Linked DNA regions of Drosophila melanogaster. The protein of the gene in region 2 interacts with the protein of the main gene of each other region in a pairwise test. Each region holds a gene or a part of one and is shown on either strand. Other genes may lie near its edges. The genes, in order: c-cup and Pburs.

The links.
Region 1: the proteins of Pburs (region 2) and c-cup interact in a two-hybrid assay, tested with the Drosophila melanogaster proteins (one large-scale study listed by BioGRID).

The regions. Positions count from the first base shown.
Region 1 is NT_033779.5:1,829,183-1,837,045, forward strand, and holds c-cup (calcutta cup), read right to left. Parts: upstream 3,384-7,863; 5' UTR 3,273-3,383; coding exon 3,242-3,272; intron 3,185-3,241; coding exon 2,610-3,184; 3' UTR 2,445-2,609; downstream 1-2,444.
Region 2 is NT_033779.5:14,413,789-14,421,451, forward strand, and holds Pburs (partner of bursicon), read right to left. Parts: upstream 3,544-7,663; 5' UTR 3,531-3,543; coding exon 3,276-3,530; intron 3,218-3,275; coding exon 3,047-3,217; 3' UTR 2,941-3,046; downstream 1-2,940.

The DNA.
Region 1 (7,863 bases), about 13 Mb from region 2:
AGCTGTTTTTACCAGAGGTTCTTACCTATATCTTTCATTAAAATGGAAAATGTAACCAAATGGCAAGCTACTGATAATGTGGTAATTAAAAAACAAGTTTAATTAAAATTGTAATTCAATGTCTTTTATATGGACATATAACCATTTTATCTAGCATATTTCGAATGGATGCAAGCCTCAGACAAATTTCTTGTAAAATGAATAAAAACCAATCTTGAGGATTCAGTTAAGCCTCGAGAAATCCCTTCACATTTCACTTACAATTTCCTTGCTGGATGTTCCACATTTCCACTTACCCATAATTGTCCATGAATGGCAAATCACTCTCGAATGCAATCAAATTAAGGAGCCAAGTGCAGCTTAATCCCTTCACAAACACATTGAAATGTAGCCAGCAGCTGTTGGGCCGCAGCCATTGTTCCCACTTCCCGGGAAAAAGGATAAAAGTGCCGAGATTGGTAGGTGGAAGCAGAAATGGGTGAAGAATTAAAAGAAAGCGAACCATTTAATGATAATTACAGCGACCATTAGCAATTGTCTGGCGGCAATAATAACAAAGTGAACATAAAAACCAGACTGCGAAATGAGGGGCGGTCTCTGATGTGCATGCCTTGCGGAGGGGGCGTGGCGAATCGAGGCGTTGGAAAATCTGGGGGCTAGAGCGTGACGCGCTTTTCAATTACCACGAAGCCGGGCTCAATCTAATGAATTGTTAAATTATGTAATGAAGCGTGTACTTTAGATAAATGAAAACTAATTAAATTAACTCCTGCAAGCAGCGAATGGCAAAGAGCAAAGTAAACTTTTGGCCAGACTTCGAAAAGTCGGAATGCAACTGAGTGAATTTAATTTGTGTTGTTTGCCAACATTTTAGTTTCGAAATTGGAAAACTAATTGTTTGCCGCACTCACACAGCCATTTGCATTTCCCTGCGCAAACACCGAAATCCAGATTCGTCTAGTGTTTTCATCCAGCAATTAGGCACGTTCCACGACATAAGCTCTTATGGTTAATTGCCTTACACCTAGAACACATCTCTTATGGCCACCTTTCCCCCCGATTTTAGCCCTACCACCTGTTTTGGCGCGTTCTGCATTTAATGAGTTATTCGATTCGATTTCGAATGGGTCACGTAAAACATTAAAATGAACGAATGACACTGGAGGGAGGTCTCCCCATCCAAATTCCCGGCAAAGTGGGGGTTAGAGCATCGTTTGCACATGACAACCAGATGGTGATAAATTCAGTGTTTGGCACCAATTATATGGGATACCATAACTGGCCAAGTTTCGGGGCGTGGCTAACGGGAAATTTATTTTAAGGAGCTACATATAATGAATTGCCAACATGACAAAGAATCCATTCAGTTAATTCATTTCAAAAGGGTCATTTAAAAAGCGAATGAATGATTACCTTAATCCGTATTATTGTTATCACCAATGGGGAAGATCCATTAAAGCAGCATTTTAAAACTTTAATTGGTCGGACTAGCATAATGGATTTTTTTTATTGTAGTACTACTTACCCAATCGCAATCGGATTTCACTAAGTATAAATAAAGCTTCACTAATAAAAAGCTGAAACAAGTGCGAACAATTTATGCAAATGGGCCACTCCAGGACATTGTCCTTCCATCTTTGCAGGGGACTGCTCTCGTCCATTTCGCCACCTTTTAAGAACCATTTCCACTTGTTATTGTTGGCCCTAGTTGTTGTTAACTTTTGAGCCCTTTTGTCACCTTTGCGCTTGATTAAATTCGACACTTCAAATAACACTTTGCCAAATGTTGTTCTTGAGTGTGTGTTGTCCTTTTGCACATTTGACTGATTTTGAAGTGTGTGCTTAACAATTTTTGGACAACTTTTTTAAATTCCTTAAGCACGTCGACTGACGAAACTTTGCGCTGGCGAAAAGTAATTTTGATTTTATTAGCTGTGTAGCACCTGACGGCATTCCTTCTGCTTTCCCGCCCGCTTTGTCACTTCTTGGCTTTCAGCTCTCAGCTCTCAGAATTCAGCTTTCAATTCAATTTAAGTCAATTGCGTGTTTGGCGCAAAGTTTTTCCACACACATACACCGGCACAATGGGAAACCCGAATCACCCCGAAGCCCTGAAAATTCGGCGACAACTTGACAAAGTCAACAGCTTGATGGGCAAAAAGTGCCAAGTAAAAAGGAAAACACGACAAACAATTTGTTGTTATCGACATTTGCCGTTGTCGATATTTTCCTGTCGAACCGAACCGCTGGGGAAAAAAGCGCAAGACAAAGGCGGAAAAACTTTCCGGCTTTCCAAATGCCAAGAGCTCGGTCAAACGGCAAAAAAAAAGAAGGACAGAATTAATTTAATCTCAGGCTGGAGGAGATTGTAAAAGAAATAGTCGATCATTTGTTTGGCAACCTAAAACCTTTGGAAAATATTCGCTCATGAAGCTAAAAGATATCTTCAATAATTTTGTTTATTCTACAAGTTACATGTAATTTTTCCAAACGCATTTTTAGTCCGTGGTTGCACTGAATATCCCCTTCAGTTAGCTTGGAAGTAAATTACTAGTTTCTGTGAATAATATTTTATTGCCAAGCTAAGAAAACGGGATATTCACAGCATCTTAAACGATATCACTCTTCTCCATTTGCTCCCCTATGGCCGAATTTGTATGTTTGACTGGACTACCGCTAATAATATCTATATCAGCATCGACTAAATATCCTACGACTTTAAATTCGGCTCTTAGGCTCTGCTCCCAGCGACTTATTACGTTCGCAGCGCAGACGCCCATGGAACTGCAGGCAATGTTCAGGACCTTGTTGGCATTGCAACCGGCCAATAGGGAGTACGGACCGTGACTGCTGAACTTTTCTCGGCCCGGACTCAGATCGTATATGAGGCCATTCAGAGCGGTGTAAATGGGTAGACTGGGACTCGAGCCATCGAAGGCAGTTAGCTCCTCCAGAGTGAGCAGAACGATATCGTGTCCTTTGGTGTCCTTTGGCTGACTCTCTTTCCTGGGGTACATGTCCAAGTACTGCGTCGACTCATCGGATTTCTCAGAGTCCCTCTTGAATTTGCCATAAAATTGCGACAACTTTGTGGTGACAAAGTAGCCAACCAAAAAGGAGACTAACGCCTGGCCAAGAGGACTTTTTAGCACTTTGGAGGCTGTCATCAAATTGGGACCCAGCTCTAGAGGATGAAGTGAGTGCGTTACGTAATTATCTACTACTTAATAACATTACTTACTTGCAGGAAACATTTGTCCAAGTATCGGCATTTTTACGACTTTTCCATAAACTATATAATTGACTCTGTTTAAGTTGTTTTCGTGCTCAGCATTTCATGAATTTTGAAAGTTCAGTCGAAATATATTCGAGTGCAAAATCAGCGGCAATTTGATCATACTCAATTAAGCCGAGTTAACAACAATTTACCGCAGTGCGGAGCGAATAAAAATGTTAAGCCACCTGCTGCCGAGCTCATTTACATCAGTCATATAAATTACATGCACTTAAAGAAATTCAGTACTATTCATTTCTAGCAAGACAAAGTTATTAAGTTATTATTTATATATTTCTTCAACATCTATTTATACGTGCATCAACCCTTTTGGTTGCTTACTCATTAAAATATTGATTTTCTTCGAGTGTAACGTACATAGCTACAGCGTGTGTCTACGCCATTTGCTATTACCATTAATGCCAAATGCTATCGTAAAAAAATGTCGCATGAAAACATTGCCAGTCTGCTGTCAGTTGCTGTTTTTATCAAATTGGCTGTACTTGGACTTTAATATGACTTAATAAGCTCATTACAATTTTTTGCGCCACGATGTGTGCGTATGAGCATGTGAGTGTGTGTGTCTCGCCAACAAAGTGTAATTTTGCGCCAGGCGAGTGCTCTGGGAGAAATACATACGGACGCTTATGTAAATACAAGTACAACTGCAGGGCGACTGCCAGGACGAAGGAGTCCTGCGCTGATTTGGGTCGGATTTAAACGATACCCTCGGATTGTTCAATTGCTCGGAAAGCTGAAATTGGTTTGTTGTGGCTCTTACGGTAATTGAGCTCCCACAATAGTAGTTTATATAAAATATGGCATTATTGCTTTATAAATTACGCTGTGCACTGAAATGTTGGCAATATTTTAAGTATTTATTTATTATGCTTATAGTGACATTTCCAAGTGTTGTCATGTGGTCAGCTTGAATGACTTACTATATGTGGCACCATCATGCCCTGGCAATACCCTGGCGATTCTCGTAACAGGATTCAGGAGAAACTGGCAAGCGTAGCGCCGTTTCGTTTCCGCCTTATGCTCGCATTAAAATTTGCATAACGTTGATTTTGTTGCGAGCACATTACGCATACGCCGCGTGTGACGTTGGTTCAAATTGCTTTGGGCACTCGGTTTGCGGCTGGTTGCTTCCTTTGCCTGTTGTCGTGTTTTTGTTATTTTTCCTTCATTCCAGCTCTTTTTCGCTTATTTTAATTTAATAAATTAAAACATATTTCGCATGCTGTTCAAATGTAATTACATATCCCTTGGACCGCACTCGCTACCGCTCAGCCTTGCCTTCTTTTAATTAAAAATAAAAATCATACAAATAAAAAAGAGCAGCAGTCTCTTTAAAGTTCGTATGGCTGCCACTGCCGTTCTGCGGGTTATTAATAAACTTTTCAATTGCCCACCAACCGCGAGGGCAGCTGTGTCGTATTAACTTTGTCTGCCAGCCGCGCCCCTTTTCCTCCCGCCCCCTTTCCACTGTCTCTTGTTTGGCTTATTAGTCCCGCTCCGCTGAAATTTGCTTTGGCAAATGTCGGAAATCCGAATGCCAGAAAAAAAAAAGGAATCACAAAATTTCAACCACAAAGTGCCAAAGCTCATAAGCCCACGAACAGGATAAAAAGGCTCCGGCAGAAGGAGCAGTACAAAGTATGCGGATGCTGCTTATTATTCGAGTTAATTAAAGCAAATTTCAAAAGGATTAGAATGCCAGCAGATTTGCTTAGTTTACTTTGCTGCAGGCCTGCGAAGGTTCTGGGATTTTCTGCTAATGGGATAGACTTTGAAAAAGAGGGAAACGATAAAGGGTTCAGACATAAACAACTTAAATAGGGGTTTCCTTGAATCATTTACAATTGTTCATTTGGCTCCGGTCGTATTGAAACATTCAATTATTACCAAACTTCTTTAAAATGTACGACTCTCAACACATTTATTCAAAGCCAAAACGAGTACAAATATTTCCATAAAATATTATCAAACATTACCAGAGAGTCCCACTCCATATTGCAAAGTCCCAACCAATCCCCTTGGCGTCCAATGATTTATTCATTGAACTGAGAGGCAAGGCAAAGCCATAAAAATCACCCACATAGTTTTTGGCCCGATGCCGCCCTCACACTCGGCACTTTGGTTATACGCCTGATGCTGAAATATTTTGCTGCACTAACCATAAATAAAAAGTGCAGAACAAGTACAGAAAAAGCATAGAAAAAGTACAGAAAAATAGGGGAATAACGAGAATAAAAATCAACAAAACTGGGCCCAAACAATGGGGGCACACAAAAACAAATTGAGCAAGAATAACAACGAATGAAAAAATATTCCCATGCGACAATTGCAAAAGTGTCAAGGTGCAGGAGGCGCCAGCCACAAAAAAAAAAGCAGAAAAATAGTAAAATATAGATAAAAAGGGCTGGGAAAACTAGGGCAATAAAACGAGGTGCCAATCTTTCATAACCTCCCAACCATGGCCCACACAAAAATCGAAAGTTTTCCCACTTTGTGTGCTAAATTTACAGAATGGTAGAACACTTTTTATGCCTGGCATATTTTTAATGCTTTTCGTGTGGCTGTGTGTTCGGTGGCTGATAGCGAAATATCGGATGTATGCCAGCATTTAGCAGACAAAGTTGCCTGGGGAACAACTGTCATTTAGATGGTTTTAAGTGGAACTATAAGCGGTTACACAGGCAAAAATGCGCTACAGGATTATAATCAAATGACATGAACATTTTTAAGCAATCTCTGCACTTTTTAGTACTCATAAGGGAAAGCAAAATTCAGTGCTCTACTAGTGTTTTTCTACCTTTTAGACTGACACTTTATGCCAAAACTTTTGGCAGATTTTACCGCTCACCCAGGCGGCTAACAAATAAATCAAAAGCACACAGAAATCCGACGAGTTCTGGCAATGCATTAAATCAATATCTCACTGTCAATCCGTTGGCTTGGCTGTCGAACTGGCTGCGAAAAGTTTTCTTGTATAATTGCAAACGAAGAGCTGGCGAAAAATTAATGAACCTCCCAGGGAAAGTAGGGGGAATACCCAAAATCCAAGGCATAAATATCATGCACGCCTGCGAAATTCTCCTCTTAGTTTCGAATTGATGAGTACGAAAGTTTTGCGTGCGGGCTGGGTGCTTTTCCGCAATCATTTTCCACCCGCTACCACCCAGGCACTGGCGCTGGAAAAGTTGCTCATTAAGGTGCCGATGAGAATTTGCCTTAAGTTCCCCAAACGCTGCCAGGATTATTAATAACTGTGCTGAGTGCGGGTGTGTGGGTGCGTGTAAATATTTGCGCTCTCCTCATTTAAGTTTTGCGTATATATCACGCATACGCCGCGTTGTGAACAATTAGTTGCAATTTATACGCCCTTACACAACAGCCGAGCACTCGGCTTAATGATACTTAATGTGTAAATCATTATAATAAATTACATGCACAAGCGATGATAAAAATAATCCACAGCCAAGAAAAATACAAATAAACCGGCCCAATCCGCATAATGTGTGCCCCGACATGCCCCTGTATATATAAGTACATATGCCGCAGTGCAAACAGGGCCAAGTCGGGATTTAAGAGTGGGTCCTTATGCACGCATTAGACATAAAGGCCATAGACATTAGTGCGCATAATGAAAAGCATTTCGCAGCCAAGAGTGCGTCACTCTGATGACGATAATGATGATAATAAAGGGGAAACCAAAGCAACCGCAACATCAAACAGACGCAGAAGCCGGCGAAAAGGAAAATAAATACAGATAACACATATGTATAGAGATGAACGCTCCACAAGTTATGAAAGCTTTGCCTTGGCTCCTTACCATCCTCAAGTCATCAGCTGTTGCCCAGCTGTTGGCGCATCCAATGTTTTGGGTAATTTCCGACAGACTTCGCCTCACGGCGCCGAAACTTCCCTGCAAATAAAACCCAAAACATTCCTCTCGGATGCTGAGTGCGCATGTAGAGAGCATCGAGTCCTGCGGAGAGCAAGCCACTCTCGAATCTCACGGATTTTATGGCAAAGCTCCAGGACGTTTATCTGAACATGGCCAGCATCCTGGCGACCAGTAGCGGAGTAACTTTGAAGCGTTACGGTTGGTCGCGATTTGGAGTCGGAGTATCGCGCAGAACCTCAAAAGTTCCCCGGTCGAAGTGTGTTTACATTGTTTGCAAACCAAAGTGAGTTCACAGCGGTCTCATCCAATCGTCAGGATTTCGCTCAAGAGCTCATGTCGCTTGTGGGCTTAGAGCGAATTGGCCAAGTGCTTGCGAGATTCGGAGCAAAACAGTGCTTAGAATAAATGTAGTTGGTAAAACATTTATTAAAAAGAATTGTACAAATAACTGTAGCCACACAGCATATACAGCATCTTTGAGAATGCAACTGCAATAGTTTAGGAGCTTTTGAAGGTTTATTTATTCCATTGAAATCTGAAAATGCTTGCAATTTATATTTTTTTAAATATTTTGAAATCTGTCCTTTCGAAGCAACTTATTTCCCTTGTGCATTACTAAATTTGACTTAAAAAAATAAATTGAATCCAGAGTTTTTTTTTTCGCTTATCAGGGAAA
Region 2 (7,663 bases):
TGCCTTGTTACATGTTATGCCCTACGCACATGCGGCTGGTGGCGGAGCAACACAGAGTCACACAGTTGCTGCAAGGAGGAAAAAGGCGCCCGAAAACAAATGTCAGCTGTAAAAATCATAAATTTAATGCAAAATGCAAAAACGCTTTGCGCTCCGCTGGGCTTTTGCTCTCTGACAGGTGACCCCTTGCACCTCGCAGTTGGTCCACCCTAGCTCACAGCACTCTGAATTTCTGCCGCTTCTAACTGAAATATGATATATGCGAAGTTTTGGGCGGAAGCTGCCACAATGCTGCTTCCTGAATACTCTAAATGAAGGAAAAATTAAGGATTTAGGCTAGCTGTTATTAATGGCATGGATGCACATGTTGCAACACAGAATTTAAGCTACGAATAAGGCGAGATGAGAATACATTTTCCTATAGTAATAATTTAATCGATATACGCAAAAAATACCTAATCAACTCCTTCTCTTGTGTTCCACAGACTTATTAATTAGTTGAGCTAAATCCATAAAATATTCGATATGGTATTGTCCAGATATGTCGAATGGCATTAGGCTAAACTATAGTTATAATAAACACAACATAAATTTCAATCAGAAAGCGAAGCGATCTTCTTGTTAGCTTCCACACGTATAATACCATAGGCAAACAAAGAGATTTTTGAAAAAAAAAAGCAACAGAAATACCTTTGAAGATAAAGCCAATCAATGATGTCACGCCTTCTTGTCTTTTGGCCATTAATGTGGGCTGATTGTGTTTGAGGGCTGAGAGCTAATACGGCAGTGTGTCTTGACACTAAAAGCATTTTTCCGTTCGACAAAATCTTTGTTGTTTACATTTCGCCTTGAGCTTTCATTAAAAACAAACAGAAATATATTTCACCGAATGACAAACAATCAAATTAATTGCGTTTTTATGCAAATGCGAATGGAGAAGAAATAAAGAATTCGAAATGATGAAAATTAATTGCCAATATTAACGCGTTTTAACACAAAAAGTATGTTAGATATTGTATAAGCGATAACCACCACCAGCAGCAGCAGCAACAATAACAATAAAGTAGCATTCAAGTAAATGTTTATATTTTTTTGTCCCCCCTTTTTTGTGATCTTCAAATTTGTTATTAATTAACATTCATTAATTATCATCAAAGTGACTCGGAAGAATATAGCAACTTGCCTGCCTTTCGTGGCCAGCGCTTAATTTATAACTTATAAATATGCAGCAATTTATTTAACACGATGCATGCGTTCGATTTGGCTCATAAATGTGGCCTGTGAGTGAAATTTATTGGTGTATTTAGCGATCGATTTTAATAATCTGCGCAAAGTCTTCCAAAAGTTTTAATTTCTTTTTAAGAGCCCTCTGAGTAAACCACACAGTACAGGAACCTGTTTTTATCTTGAAATTTTAATATCCCATTTTAGTTCAAAGTATCTTTCCCACTCGTTCTTAAGTTAATGACTCAAATCGATGCACACTTTCCAGGTGATCCGCGATTGAAGCTAAATGAGTTATTCAGCACCTGCAATGGACCAGTAATTGTGTTGTTGTGGAAACCCGTTCGCTTATAGACTGTTTAATTTGATTACCCTAATGAAATGTTAAAAGTTTTGAATGATCATCTGATCGCAGGTAGTTTTTCGCTCACCGGTTCTACGTGACTCCATCCGGGATGCAAGATTTGCCGAGAAATCTTGCTCGATGTATGTTATAAATATAAATATATAATTTATATTGTGTCGGCACGTTGCTGTTGATGGAGCCACTGACGCGCGATGCCACCCAGGAACCCCCCTCTTGATCCACCGTTCCCCCTTGGACAAATCTTGGATGGGTATATGGAGCTCAGCAGCTCTGGAAGATCACTGCGGTCCGATGTTAATGGGCGTGTCAACTAAATTATGAGTTTCGCACACACGAACGAAAGGCGGCAACTCAGTACCGACCGGTGGAGATCACATTCAGCTGGGTAGTAAGTATATGGGGAGCTGTGGAAAAATGCTTAAGTAAATTACAGTGCGTGCAAATGTGCTTGTGAACATGAAATTATAATGTAGCCCCGAACCGAGCGTGTTCCGTTCCAAGCCAAGCTCCAATTTACAATTAGTCGATGTTGCCCCATCTCTGGTGGCTTTAATCAATTCAGCTGGGTACTCGCATGTCTAAAATAAAATATAATAAAACAGGAGGAATAGGGAAAATAATGATGAAAATTAACAACCAGAAAGCGGTTTTCATCTTAAGTGCAGTTTATGCTTGATTATTATGTTTGCGAGACGAGTTTCCGGGTGGTTAGGCATCATGTGCCGCACAGATGCCAACATAAATATGGCAATTGCGAGTGCGCCGGACCCTCTGACTAAATGAGTTAATTTGGTAGCCAGGCTGGGCCAAAAAGTCAATATGCTCGTTGCCATTTCCCTGGCCATTGCAAATGCCTGTCAGAGGACGAGTGATGTATTCCATTTTGGTTGCAATCAATTTTTGGCCTCCAGTGATATGTCAAACATTTTCCGATTCAGGATTGCATTGCATATTTTTGGGAAAATCAAAGTTCATGCATTCATGGAGTATAGCAAGTGCCTCTCAGCGAAATGTGTACTGTATTTTCAATCAAACAGATGTTTGTTAGCCTTTGGCTTACTGCATATCAATGTAGCAAACAATAATGCATGAAACAACAGACACTTTAATCATGAGCAGCTATCAGTCTAATGTTGTTATTCAAACACACACGAAGATCCATTTTAAGCATAAGTTAAATAAGGGCGAAAAAGTGGAAAGTTCAATATAGAAACTAATTTTGTATTAATTTAATTTAATGGTTATATTAGAATAGACATTAAAGATATATGTATTTATTTAACTGAAAAAGCTGGGACTTTCACTTATTCCTTTATTAATTCGAAATATTTAAGAATATACATGATTTTAAGTAATGGTACTTTTAATGTGGGGCTCGTTTTGAAAATATATGAAACATATTTCACTCTGCAACTAAAACAAATGGATGCAAATAGCATAGTTTATGTTGAGGCATTAACGTGTGAAATCGCCACATTTGAAGCACTTGCACTCGGTGGGCTCCCGAAGACGTATATCCATGCTTCCCATTTCCGGAGAGGTCAAACGGGTGCCGTCCGGGTCATAGCAATGGGTTAGAGTGATGACCTTTTCCTTGAGGAAGCTTTCGCGGCAGCAGTAGCACTCCTGGAAAACATGGAACCTTAGAGTTCGCTAACTCTATAGAGGCAGGATTCAAACTTACTTTCAGAAACCCCGTGGGCGTTATCACCGATGGTTGCACCTGACTGTTGCACAATCCTTCGCATTTGTTGACGATGACGTCGGCATTGCAGGTCCTCTGCATCCGGCCCAGCTCGTCGAACTCCTCCTTGATCAAGTGGATCTCCGACTTGAGAGTCTCGCAGTTCTCGTCGCCAGTGCCTTGGCTATATCGCAATGCCCTCAGGCATTGGGGCACTAGGATCGCGGCCACAAAGAGCAGTTCCTGGACATGCATGCTGACCCACTCCCAACGCCCAACTGTTTGGAATCGCTTCACCCGGAGGCTCTTTTATACGGAAGAGGGCTGGACCTGATTGGATTCCATGATATATGTCAATGACTGGCTGATGGAATGTTTGTGTCCTGCCCAGCGGGTGAAAATTCGGTCGCTTAAGTTGCGGTAGGACATGGCAATTTACACATCACTTTTGTGCTCCGTTAATTGGTAATTAAATCAAACGACTTGACCACAAGTAACGATGTCGACTGTATCGATTCGATTTTTTACACGTTAAACCAAATCGATAAGTACGGAATAAAAATATAAAATGATTGCAGAAAATTTAATAACTTAATGCCAGATTGCGTTACACTTAGCTTATACTATTGGTTATATTACAATAATTTATTGGTGTGAGCAATAAAGAGGCAAATACTTTCAGCCTTAATCTATACAAGGGGCTTTCCCGCAATTTTCCGGCCACGTAAACAAAAAATGAAATTGCAATCTGTCTGAAGTTTTCCACCTCTCGTGTCTGTTATTGCCTGCTTTTGGCCCTGTTGGCCCTCCCCTGTTGGCATCGTCTTTGTCTCGCCCAATTTCGCAATAACCACATTCTCTCTCCCAGTATCTGTAGCTGTATCTGTATCTGAATCCCACTGTGGGCTCGACCGCCTTTCTCCACTTCACTCCTCTGTGGGCCATGGTCGATGGTTGCGCTTTAGAATCATCGACGCAAACGCAAAAAGTCTCAATGGCGCAGTAAATTATGTTTTATTATGCAATAAAGTCAACCATAAAAACGCTGCAATAAATTAAATTAACTACTAAAAATGCTGATTTTATTTTTACCCTCCGTTTGCGAAATTGTTGTTCAGTCAGTTCCGTCTCTCCATATATACATATGTATACACACACGAGTATTTGAATACATAAACAAGGATGCATGCTTGTGTATCTATCGTATGGCGCAAAGTTTTGTTCTGAATTTTTGGTTTACTGTCTGGATTTTTGCCTATTTTTCCTGTTTTTCTGTCTGCGAATAGTCTAAATGGTAGTTTGCTCGGAAAAACCGCTGCGCTCAATGCTGGAACTCAAAGTTTGACTCAGGATTTCAATTAAAATTATAAAAAAATAAAGACTTATTTACATTTCTAGACAATATTGCAATTGTGATTCTTAAAAAGAAAATACTTCTAATTATAAAAATTAATTCAAATTCCCTATTAAAAAGCTGAATAATGGATGATGGTGTACAAAAATTAGTTAGTATGTTCCGCCCAGCCTAAAAGATTGGTGCTGCCCCAATGCAGCTCAGATCAATGTTCAAATTAGTGCCATTCCCTAAGAAGTCCCGACATCAAAGGATAACCAAGGGTAAAAAATACATCCTGCAGGCTTCGTGTCCATGAATGAAATCCAAAGCGACACACGACCGGCAGCAGTAAAACAAAAGCGCAATGCTTTAAATGAATAAATATGACACATAAATACCATCCAACAATGGATAGCCCGTGTGTCTTTGTGCAAAAGGAAAAAACAACAAATTCAACAGATTCGAAAAGGCTAAAAAAAAAATAAATACAAAAAAATCGCAAAACATCGTAACAACAAAGCCAACCGACCAAGCGACAGGGACCGACAGTTAATTCCGCGAAAGAGGAAATTACAATTCATGCCCTTTGGCAGAACTCCATGATTATCAGATCGAATTAGTGTCTGCCTGGGCATCTCGTCCTCCCATCCTCCCATCCTCCTTTCCGATACACGGATACTCTTCGGTGTGCCTGACTGTTTGTCCTGGGGCCACATGAGCCCCACACATTTTTTTTTGCCGCATTCGGTGGCGTTTCGGCCCTCAACCGAACCATTTGAATGAACTTGGACCGGCTGCTCCTTTTGTTTCCCGTTAACAACAAATACAACAATTATGAGTGTGTGCCCCGTCTGGCCGAGTCCTGTGGAACCTGTCATGACCAGAAAGTTGCCCTTATTTTTTGGTTCACCGTGCGTTCATTTCGTTGTCCGCAGACAAGGAAAAACAAATATATGTGGTAAAAAATGCAGCATTTTGACTGATTTGCGGGTGTCGCCATTATATTCATATATTAAATAATAGAATTAGAACTTCAAAGTGCTATATGCTAAGCCTAATGCGGTTTTCAAATAGTTAAATACTTGGCAACATTTATATATGCGATGTCTGGATTTTTTCTAATAGTTTTTTAATTTCCCCCAATTGATTGGTTTGCCCTTGCCTAATTGATTTAGAATTAATACTTACTGTCCGTGTCTCGTAACGCCAGCTGTAGAAACATACTCGAAAAATGATTATGGGCAGACACATTAATTAAATTAAGCCGACTTTGGAGCCTTGGGGCTGCCTGTCTGATGACTAGAGACTGGGAGTGAATCGGTCTGAAGTGGCTCTTAGTTGGCCAAAATCGCTGTTGACTCATTATGGTAAAGACATGTGTTAATTTATGTAACTTTCCCAAACGGCCATTGCGACGTTCATTAATCATTTTTTTAGTTTCGAGATTTTCAAGTTGGCCCCATGTCTCGCCGTGTGCTGCCTACTCTTTTATGTTATTTTTAGTTAATTGTTTGCGCTGTAAAATGTTTATGCGTTTTTGGCCAGCAGCTCGGTTCGGCTGCCTTTGCCCTCTTTGACTAATGTGTGCCGCGTGTTCACATTTTTGTCTCAATGATTTATAGTTGTCCGCTGGACAAAGTCATTTTTGCTTTGGAAGCGGTTTTGTGTGCCTGCAAAACGTATCAATCATATTGGAAATTAATTTTGATAGCCACATAAAGCTAGTCATATAAAAAAAAGGTGGAAAGTGGGAAAAACAAAGCAGCTTAAGCAGAAATCTCAGTTATATTGTAGTAATTAGCTCCTAATGGATTCATTCATTTTCTATCGGAATTCAATCGAGGAAAATAACTTAAAACTGTTTTTCACTACCTGTACATAAACAATTTGGGAGTAGTACTTTACAAGTGCAGAAATAGTGAAGCGAAAGTAAGCAGCTCCAACGATTTGCCCGTTAGCCACCTCTACACTGCCCTGCATAATTATGGTGCGTATGAGGCCCGAACATTCAATCTGCCTGCCCCATCCAAAGCTTTAAAACAAAACCCCTAATCAGCATTAAGGTGCGCATAGCCTATTATTAACTTGATTACAATTCGGGATAAGCGAAGGCAGCCAAATCAGCTGGGCTATGTGTGGGTAACACCCCGGCGATCGGCGCAAAGGGAGGGCCTATATGGTGGGAAGTGAGGATCATTTTGCACGATTTACGAGATACGAGTTGCGAGTATATGTATGTATGTTCATATATAGTCGAGTCGAGTCGAGTACCCGGGGCTAGAGTGGCGGATAATGGTTACGGACAATGACGATGAGTGGATGGTGGCTTCTACTCTCTCGCCGTGGAATGGAATAAAGACTGCCCCACCGTCGAGCACATCCATCAATCGTGATGGATAACTGACAGTTTGGGGCGTTGCGGGTTCTCAATTTTCATGGTCAGGCTTCTCCGGTGAAATAAAGAAAAAATTCCATTTACCCGTCAACCCAATTTGTTGATCATTAATCATTGATATATGTAGTATATACGGTCAACCCGTTCGTCTATTCGTTTAGTTGCTGCGCTTATTTGGTTGCTTAAATGTAGCATTGACCCAATGGGGAATTGAATTGATTGCGCATGTGCATGTGCGATAATTGGCATAAATTAATATGGCCAACAAATTTAATTAGACATAAATCAATGAGTTTATTAAACAGTAGCCAGCGCAGACTGCAGGCAGCAAGCAAACCGGCAGCCAATCATGCCAAACCGTTTTCCACCAATAAACTGCCGCAAATTGGCTAATACCGAATGGCGTTATATGTCGAACCCAGAGTTATGCCCGTTTCCCTCTGTCTATCTAGCCAACGCCCACCAGTCTCGGCGCGCACATTAAAAATCAGTTAAATTCAGAAACACTCTACCCACTGACCCCCGCGCCAACACAAAAATGTCCATAAACAATTTTCATGGCAAAAAGTCCGACCACGACTCAGTGGAATCGAGGGACCTCTCACTGTGCCGGCTGTCGAGAGACGCAGCTGGATTCGAACTGGTTATATGAACGGA